Linked DNA regions of Canis lupus familiaris. The protein of the gene in region 2 interacts with the protein of the main gene of each other region in a biochemical or structural test. Links are inferred from orthologs where the notes say so. Each region holds a gene or a part of one and is shown on either strand. Other genes may lie near its edges.

The links.
Region 1: of the proteins of HMGA1 (region 2) and PRMT6, one has a biochemical effect on the other in vitro, tested with the Homo sapiens proteins (2 studies listed by BioGRID, with this or other methods). The link is inferred for Canis lupus familiaris from reciprocal best matches to the Homo sapiens genes HMGA1 and PRMT6.

The regions. Positions count from the first base shown.
Region 1 is NC_049227.1:44,890,138-44,894,684, reverse strand, and holds PRMT6 (protein arginine N-methyltransferase 6), read left to right. Parts: upstream 1-1,568; 5' UTR 1,569-1,608; coding exon 1,609-2,739; 3' UTR 2,740-4,200; downstream 4,201-4,547. UniProt on the Homo sapiens protein: Arginine methyltransferase that can catalyze the formation of both omega-N monomethylarginine (MMA) and asymmetrical dimethylarginine (aDMA), with a strong preference for the formation of aDMA.
Region 2 is NC_049233.1:3,706,118-3,710,385, reverse strand, and holds the start of HMGA1 (high mobility group protein HMG-I/HMG-Y), read right to left. Parts: upstream 2,874-4,268; 5' UTR 2,801-2,873; intron 2,554-2,800; 5' UTR 2,440-2,553; intron 1-2,439. UniProt on the Homo sapiens protein: HMG-I/Y bind preferentially to the minor groove of A+T rich regions in double-stranded DNA. It is suggested that these proteins could function in nucleosome phasing and in the 3'-end processing of mRNA transcripts.

The DNA.
Region 1 (4,547 bases), on a different chromosome or scaffold from region 2:
CATATTCAGAATTCTCTTAAAAGGGACCATAAGTAAGTGAATTGAAAACAGGTTGGAGGAGTGAGTGCATTTAAAAGGGGAAGGAGGAGATTTTGAGAGAGGAAAGAATGGGAGAGGAGTGCCCTAAGTAGCAGCTTAGAGGTGACGTATTAAAGCGATCGCATTTACTTAGGACTCTAATCTCACAGCCTGCTCTGCACCTGTTTCCTTAAAACAAGGAATCAAACTGGGCAGAAAGACAAACTGTTTTGAAGACTTTTAGCCTTAAATGGTTGAGCCCAGGCCACTGGGGGGGGGGGAAAAAAAAAAGATAATTTACCCGATGAAAATAATGAAGCAAGATTTAACTAAGATCATTTTAGGGAGACACAGTGGTTCTTACTCTGGCCGCACATTCAGATTCCCCAGGGAGCTTTTAAAACTTCATGCGCGGGGCTCCCGTGAAGTGGTTCTGACTTAATTAGTTTGAGGTGAGACAGAGGCACAGGTATTTTGTGAAAGCTACAGCTGACTGTACTGAGGAGCAAGAGAGCCCTCCAAGTACAGCTGAGGATGTCGGGTCAATAAACCTATTCCATTAAACGAGAGATTAACAGAGGGAAGAAAGGGGTGAAGGGACTTTAGTCCCCAAATACGGAATACAGGCCCGTCGGTTCAATGGACATAATCCGAGGCTACCAGAAAATAAAGTCAACTTTCTTCAATGTCTTTTTTTTTTTTTTTTTTTTTTTTTTTTTTGCTGGGAGAGAAGTTTATTCGCACAGTGCTGGGAACACAGACGCTCCCACGGACACCGCACATACTTCAAAGTGTATTTTATTTGTATCGTGAACAACAGGGAGGGAAGAAATGAACCCCTGACAGTTGACTGAAAGGGAAACGGAAGAGGAAAAATACCTCGTCCACGCCAACGACCACGCGGGGAAGCAACCGCGAGGCAGGCGGGCAGCCCGGGGGCTCCGGGGGCTCCGGGGGCTCCGGGGGCTCCGCGGCCCAGCGCCGCCTTCGGCCGCTCCCTCCGCCGCGTGTCTCACCAACGGATAAATAGGGTCTTTAAAAGAGAAAACCCGAACAAGGGAGGGAGGACGGAGCCGTGGAGCTCCAGCGGCGCCCGCCCCGTCACCTCGCGTCCCCGTCACCTCGCGTCCCCGCGCTGCGGCCTGGGGAGCGGCGGCGTCGCCCGGCGGGGCGCGACCCGACTGCAGGGGCTCCCGCCGCCAGGGGCTGGCAGCGCGGCCCTTCCGTGGCCCGGGGTCTCCTCGCGGCCCAGGGCCGGTTCCCACCCGCAGGGCTTTCTTCGTGGCGCTCACACCGTGCGCACCGCCCCTCACCTCGGGGCGCGGCGGGCTTCAGAGCGGGCGGAGGCAGAGGGCAACGGAGGGGCTGAGGGAGAGAGGCTCGCGGAACTCGGGCGCGCGGCGCCGACCCACCCCCCCGGCTCCGCGGGGCGGCGGGGGCGGCAGGGCTGCCAGCGCGGGGCCGCGCTCCGGGCTTCTCCCCCGGATAGTGGGCGGTGCCAGCCGGCACTACAAGTCCCAGAAGCCCCCGCTGCCCGGAGCCCGCGCGGAGCCGCGCAAGGCCCGCCGGGAGTCGGCCGGGGCCGCCAAGATGTCGCAGCCCAAGAAAAGAAAGCTTGAGTCGGGGGGCGGCGGCGGCGGAGGAGGGGAGGGAAGTGAGGAGGAAGATGGCGGAGCGCCGGAGGCGGCCCCGCCGCGACCCCGGAGGGCGCGGCGGGAGCGGGACCAGCTGTACTACGAGTGCTACGCGGACATCTCGGTGCACGAGGAGATGATCGCGGACCGCGTCCGCACCGACGCCTACCGCCTGGGCATCCTGCGGAACTGGGCCGGGCTGCGGGGCAAGACGGTGCTGGACGTGGGCGCGGGCACCGGCATCCTCAGCCTCTTCTGCGTGCAGGCGGGCGCCCGGCGCGTGTACGCCGTGGAGGCCAGCGCCATCTGGCAGCAGGCCCGCGACGTGGTGCGGCTCAACGGGCTGGAGGACCGCGTGCACGTGCTGCCGGGGCCGGTGGAGACGGTGGAGCTGCCCGAGCAGGTGGACGCCATCGTGAGCGAGTGGATGGGCTACGGGCTGCTGCACGAGTCCATGCTGCGCTCCGTGCTGCACGCGCGGGCCCGCTGGCTCAAGGAGGGCGGCCTGCTGCTGCCGGCGTCCGCCGAGCTCTTCGTGGCGCCCGTCAGCGACCAGATGCTGGAGCTGCGCCTGGGCTTCTGGAGCCAGGTGAAGCAGCTCTACGGCGTGGACATGAGCTGCCTGGAGAGCTTCGCCACGCGCTGCCTCATGGGCCACTCGGAGATCGTGGTGCAGGGCCTGTCCGGGGAGGACGTGCTGGCGCGGCCGCACTGCTTCGCGCGGCTGGAGCTGGCCCGCAGCGGCCTGGAGCAGGAGCTGGAGGCCGGCGTGGGCGGCCGCTTCCGCTTCAGCTGCTACGGCTCGGCGCCCATGCACGGCTTCGCCGTCTGGTTCCAGGTGACCTTCCCCGGCGGGGACGCGGAGAAGCCCCTGGTGCTGTCCACCTCGCCCTTCCACCCGGTCACGCACTGGAAGCAAGCGCTGCTCTACCTGAACGAGCCGGTGCCGGTGGAGCAGGACACGGACATTTCCGGAGAGATCACGCTGCTGCCCTCCCGGGACAACCACCGCCTCCTGCGCGTGCTGCTGCGCTACAAAGTGGGCGACCAGGAGGAAAAGACCAAAGACTTTGCCATGGAGGACTGAGCGCGGCCTCCTCCTCCGCCGCCCCCACCCCCAGCCCCAGGCGGCCGGCCTGCGGGGCGGGGTGCAGGGGGCCGGAGCCGCGGCGGAGCCCGGCGCGCAGGTGGGCGCAGCGCCTCCCCGCGCCCTCCCCGCGCCCGGTTCCCGGGAGGCAGGCGGACTGGAGTCTCCTCCTCCCAGGAGGTTCTCCCGGCGATATTTATTTAAAAAGTGAACCCCGAGGCCCCCAACGATGGAAACAGCTTGTTTATTACTGGGCCTCAAAAAGCATGTGGTACCAAGCACTTGTATTTCTGTTTCTTTTGTTTCGCGGGAAGGAAGCCAAACACAGAGGAAGGCTCCGTGCACATCCCTGATGTCTCCCACCCAAACCTGAAGCCAGGGAGAAGGCTAACGGGGTTTACCTAGACTCCATAAATTTCCACTATGACTTAAATATTATCTCTCCAGAGCCATATTCTTTCGTTCTCGAAATTCCCTCCTTTCCTAGGTGCCTCTAGGCTTCAGTGCTTCTTCCTCCTTGTTTTTTTAAATAAACTTTTGCTTCTGGTAATGAGAGGGAGGAGAGTGAGGAAGCAGTTTGAATTATCCTGTTCTTACACTTAACTACTTCCATAGGGTGCTAAAGTCGAACACATTTCTCCTTTTTGAGTAAAATAGGCCATATATAATTGTGCAGCATACCCCCCCCCCCCCCCAACATCAACAAGGTACATTTAGGAGAGAAACATCTGAAAGTGAAGTAGTACGGGTTTTTTTTTATTCTTGATTTTACTATTAAGATTTAACCAAGGCAATGTTTCGTGTATGTTACATAATAAAGTTTTGTGTGACTTTTATTAAACCAGTTGGCAGAAGGCTTTCTGAACCTGACCCAAGGGGTTTGTTCATCATATTGGGTAAATTCTTTAGGCTCTTTAAATTAAGGAAAATCTTTTCCCAGCTAGAGAAATGCACTCACTTAAACTCTCACTTGGGGAGATCATGTGATCTGGCCTACTTACATCAATTGAAATTTCCTTTTTTTAGTGTTGTTGAGTTCTTTTTTTTTTTTCTTTTTAGCTCAGCCAAATGTGAAAGTTGTGAATTTCGGAAAATCATTTGTGATGAAGTGTGAGTCATGTTATCAAATTTATTTCACGGATGTTTCCCTCCTTATCCCTGTGGCAAATAAAACATTGGCATTCTATTTTTATAGATGAAGTAAGAAGTCTTGTGTACTGCGACTTAATAATGCTTTTGCCTACTTAATATCGTCAGTTCTTAAGTGTTACAACCCTTTCGGAATATAGCTTCAGGATAGTTTATGCTTAATGTATGTTTTTTCTTCATACTGGTGGCTTTTGTATGCTGATAGAAAACAGGTGTGAGAAGTGGTCTTTGAAGTAATTCAGTATAGTTTTGTTTATTGTAAATGAGTTTTCTCCTTTATTCATCACATATTAAAGTACTGAAGTATTATAACCAATTTGCTAAAATGTGGTGTTAACACATGAGATCTTCCATTAGGAGAGGAAACATACAAAATCAATGACTTGCCAAGATCCAAGCAATGACAGTGATAGTTGTCACCGTTTTGATAGTTAACAGTCTGTGTAAATGGTGCAGTCATAGTAAAGTAGGCCTGATTTAAGCTGGAGGTATAAAATAAGTCCTTTTTATTTTTTAGGGTCAACTATATAAGATGAACGTTTATTTACAATACTAATGTATGATTTTGGGTAGATTTCTGATGCTTTTTTTGACTTCCTGTAACAATCCATTTGCTATGTGGGCAAACAAAAACATTCTGAATTCCAGTTTTTGAAATC
Region 2 (4,268 bases):
AGGCCGTTTTGGGTTTAATCAGCCCCACTAATTTTGAGTTTACATAAAACCTCCCACTGCAAGGAGCACCTGCACCCCGGATTAGGGTGGCTCTTCCAGAGGCTTAAAACACAGTGAGGGTCCTCCCCTCCCCCATCCCATTTCCCCTCTTGTCTTTCCAGTTGCAGAGACAGGAGACCCGGGAGACCTAGGACTCTGTACCTCCCTGGTAACAGATCCCTGGTTGCCCTTGGGAAAGGGCGGGCCCACACAGCTACACTTCCAAAAGACCTCCATCTGTAAAATGGGGTAATGGGAAGACATCTACCCCAACTCCCTCTTCCAAACTGATGTCAAAGATTAAACCAGATCATAGTTAAATGATCATCATAGTCAAGATCATAGTTAAATGCGTCAACATAAAGTCCTCACTTCAATCAAAATGAGAACTAGAATATTCGAAAATGACTTTTCTTTCACCTATTTCAGATTTTCAGACACATTTCCAATTTTAACTTAGCCAAGAGAAAAGAAAGTTTTTTTGCAAACTTGTGATTTTTGGAGGGCTTGAGGCCCCCATCCTCAAGCATCACGATTCTCCAGACGGTGAGACTTTGGTAATTATTCTATTTTATAATATTTCAGACTTGAAGACCCTTTTAAACAAGGTGGTTGGTGATTTATCCTGCTCCGTCATTAGTGGCTTGGCCTGCTCTGTAATTACAGGCAGTGATTAGAATCTTATATTACACCACAGGTTCCCCTTCAAGCTAAACATCAAAATTAATCAGTCTAAATGAGCACTGACCTCACATGAGGTCTGCAGAAGGCCCCCTCACGGAGGGGGTTCCAGTTGGGCCAAGCCAGCCCCTAATCCCAGAAAGCCTGGGCCCAGCATGCCTGAGAATCCTGGTGGGTCTCCGGGAAAGTTCCTGCATCATCTGGAGATCCCCCCACCACCTCATACTCCTGGGGACCCCTTTAATCCACTCTCCAACTCCCTCCCCTTCCAGGCCTCCAGGAACTGAATGAAGGCCTGAAGCCCTCTCTCGGTAGGGCTTGTCTCTTCTTCCACCTGTTTCTGAATATCAGAAGCCTGGCTGGCGAAGCCATGTTTAGGGCCCAACCTGAATCCTTCTGTATGTAATGAGCCTTTCTGGGCCTCAAGCTTGCCCCTCCACACACCGTGCATGCAATGGGTCTTCCACAAATGCACACGAGTCTACGAGCACAACCCTAGGAAATCATCATGGGGCTCCCTTGTTTTCCGGAAAAAAAGTAGCCCAGAGAGGCCTGAGGAGTTGCCCAAGGTCACACAGCAAGTTGGTGAGGAAAGAGAGGTTGTTACCGGCGACCCCTCTAGCCCGGGACTTTTCTTTCCTTACCCTCCTGGAGACTGATTAAAGTCTCTGTCGCCCCCTGCTCCAGACCCGGCCCCAGGGTGACTCTGCAAGTGTCTGGGCCGGGCCGTTGCAGGTCAGCCAACGAAACTAGGGGCCCGAGCGCGCGGGGGGAGGGGCACGGGCTGCTCTCGCAGGCGCGGGAAACTGGTGCACCCCGACCGCATGCACCGCCACGCGGGTGCACCCGGCCCCACTTCCTGCCAGAGGGGGCACCCAAGCCCGCCTTGGGGCAGGAAACCTGGCGCGCGCGGGCGCGGGGTAGAGGAAGAAAGCCACCTCCCTCCGCGCCCTCCCCGCAAAATAAAGCTCCAGAAAAAAAAAAAAAAATTGAAACGGGGAGTCAGAGGGACTAGTTCCAACAGAGCCCTGCAAAGCAGAGAAACCTGTTTGTGGGGGCGGAGGGCAGGCCCGGCCCCGGGGGCTGAAGAGGCGCGGGCCGGGCCAGAGGTGGGGTCGGGGTGAAGCCCCAAACCCAGGGCCGCGCGGTTCGGCCTCCTCTGCGTAGGGGGGCACCAGGAGGAAGGCCGAGCGGGAGCAGAGCTGAATTGCGGGGCTCCCGCCCATCCCCCTCACTTCTAGAACTTCCCCGGGCTGCGGGGGTCGCCCGGCCCCCCACTCGCCCGCCTCGCCGCAGCCCGCTCCTCTCCCCACCCCCCACAGCCCGGGCCCCGGCTCGGGCTCGGGCTCGGGCTCCAGCGGGAGCGGCGGCCGCGCGAGGTGCACCGGGCTCCGCCGGGTGCACAACTCGCGCTCGCCGCAGCCGCGCGCCCCCTCCCCCACCGCGCGCCTTTCCCGGGTCCCCGCCCCCCGCAGGGCACCCGCGGCGCGGGGGAAGGGGTGCGGGCGCCCTCCCCGCGCCGCGGGGCCCCGCCGCCCGCCCCCGCGCCGCGCGGCCCTCCCCCGCCGCCGGCTCGCGCAGCCCCGGCCTGGGAATAAAGCCGGAGGCGCGCGCTGCAGCCCCGGGCGGCTCGCAGGAGGGGCGGCGTGCGGGCGGGGGCGCGGGCGCCCCCCTCCTCCGCCGCCGCCGCCGCCGCCGCGGGCCCCGGGGACGACTCACCGCGAGCTCGGCCGCCGGCCTGCGGTGCGCGCTCCGGGCTGCCGGGAGCGACGGTGCTGGGCGCTGAGGACCGGCCTGGCTCCGCCGCCGCCGCCGCTGGTAGCAAATGCGGATCTGAAACCGGGAGAGAGAGCAGAGGCGCTCAGAGACCGCCGCCGCCGCGTGCTCGCCGCCCAGGCCCCCGCGGGGTATTTATCTGTCACATTCAGGCGGGGGGACAAAAATATTCGCCCTCCCCCGAAGGATGGCGAGGGGCAGGAAGCTAGGCACGGCCCGTGCGCGGCCTCAATAAATAAATAATTTAATTAAATGATAGATACATAAAAAAAAAAAGAAGCCACCGGAGGGGCCGCGAACTCACGCCTTCTTGGAGCCGCGCCAGCGCCAGAAATAGCCCGGGCTCGGAGTCCCAATTAGAGGAGCGCAGCCCCGGCTCAGGGGAGCTTAAAAAGAGCGACCCAGGGGCAGGGGGGACGGGCCCGCCCGCGCCAGCCGTGTCACTGTGGGGGGCGGGGCCATGCAAATGAGCCCGGGGATTTAAAAGGGCGGCCGCCCGCCAGCCGCCGCCGCCGCGCGGGTGGGTGCTGACGCCCGGGAGGGGTGCGCGGGAGGCCTGGGCTGGGAACCCGAGGCCACGATCCCCTCTACTGTCCCGGGCCGGGAGCCCGGGGAGGGTGCATAGAGTGGGAACGCCAAGGAGCTTTCCGCGGGGGGAGAGGGGAGGGCGTCCTCACAGCCTGGAACGGGGCGGGGGGGCGGTCCTGGGAGGATCACCTCCAGGGACCTTCCGGGCGCGTGGGCCCGGCGCCCGCGGGGCGCGCTGGGTGTGGGCGGGCGTTAGTGCCCGCGGGATCCGCGCGGGCGGGCGGGGGCGGGGAGGAACGCGCCCGGGAGAATTCCGCGGCCTACCCGCCGCCCCAGCGCCCAGATTCGCGGCTCGCAGATTCCCCTGGGCGGACAGGTGTCAGCATGTGCATTTCAGTGCCAACCTGCGTGTGGCTGACTGGTGAAATACAAGTCTTGTGAAATCCAAACGTGAAACTTGTGAAATCCCGAGTTCTCGCTTATTAATGGCCGCGAGTGAGCCGTCATCCAGGTGCAGCCTCCAAGCGAAGCAAACGATTGGCTCGCTTGCAGGTAAACCCGAGGGTGGACTCGTCCCTCCAGGGGGCTCGCGTGGTGCTTGGAGATACGCCTACCCACTGGGTGCCCTAGCCTTCTCCGCTGCGAAGGAGAACGAGAAAGCGTGAGCCCACGGTCGCCTGGAAGCACTTTGAGGGCAGGGACTGGGTCGACGCGAGCCGTCCCCGCCACGCCTGGCCCGCCCGGCGCCACAGAGACTTGTTGCACCGACGAGGAGGAAGCCAAAGTCGAAAGATGGCGGGGAGGGCGGTGGGAGAAGAAAGGGCGCTGTCGAGAGCGGCGCGCCCTGCAGGCCGGGTCCGGGCCTCCTCGGGCGCACCTCCCGCCCCTGGTCCCCGCGGCTGCCCTCCACACCTCCCGTGATGCAGGGAAATGCAATGCGGCCCAGTGACACACGGCTGTGACTCATGTTTTTCTTTGCTCCCCTCCTTCCTCCCCGGCCGGCCGAGGCCCCAGCCCAGCCCCCTCCTCAGGGGGCGAGCGGGCGAAGGAGGGGGCCGCCAGGAAAACCCTGCGCCCGCAGTGGAGGCGGGGTGGGGAGCCGGAGGGGCCGGGCCTCCTACTTTCAGGAATGTTTCAGGAATGTTTCCGGTGGGGGTGGGGAGCAGCGCGGGATGGGCCCAGCCCCCACCCGGGGCGGCGGGCCGGCGCTCGGGGCCGGGGGCAGCACGTGCTCGGCCGGGTGG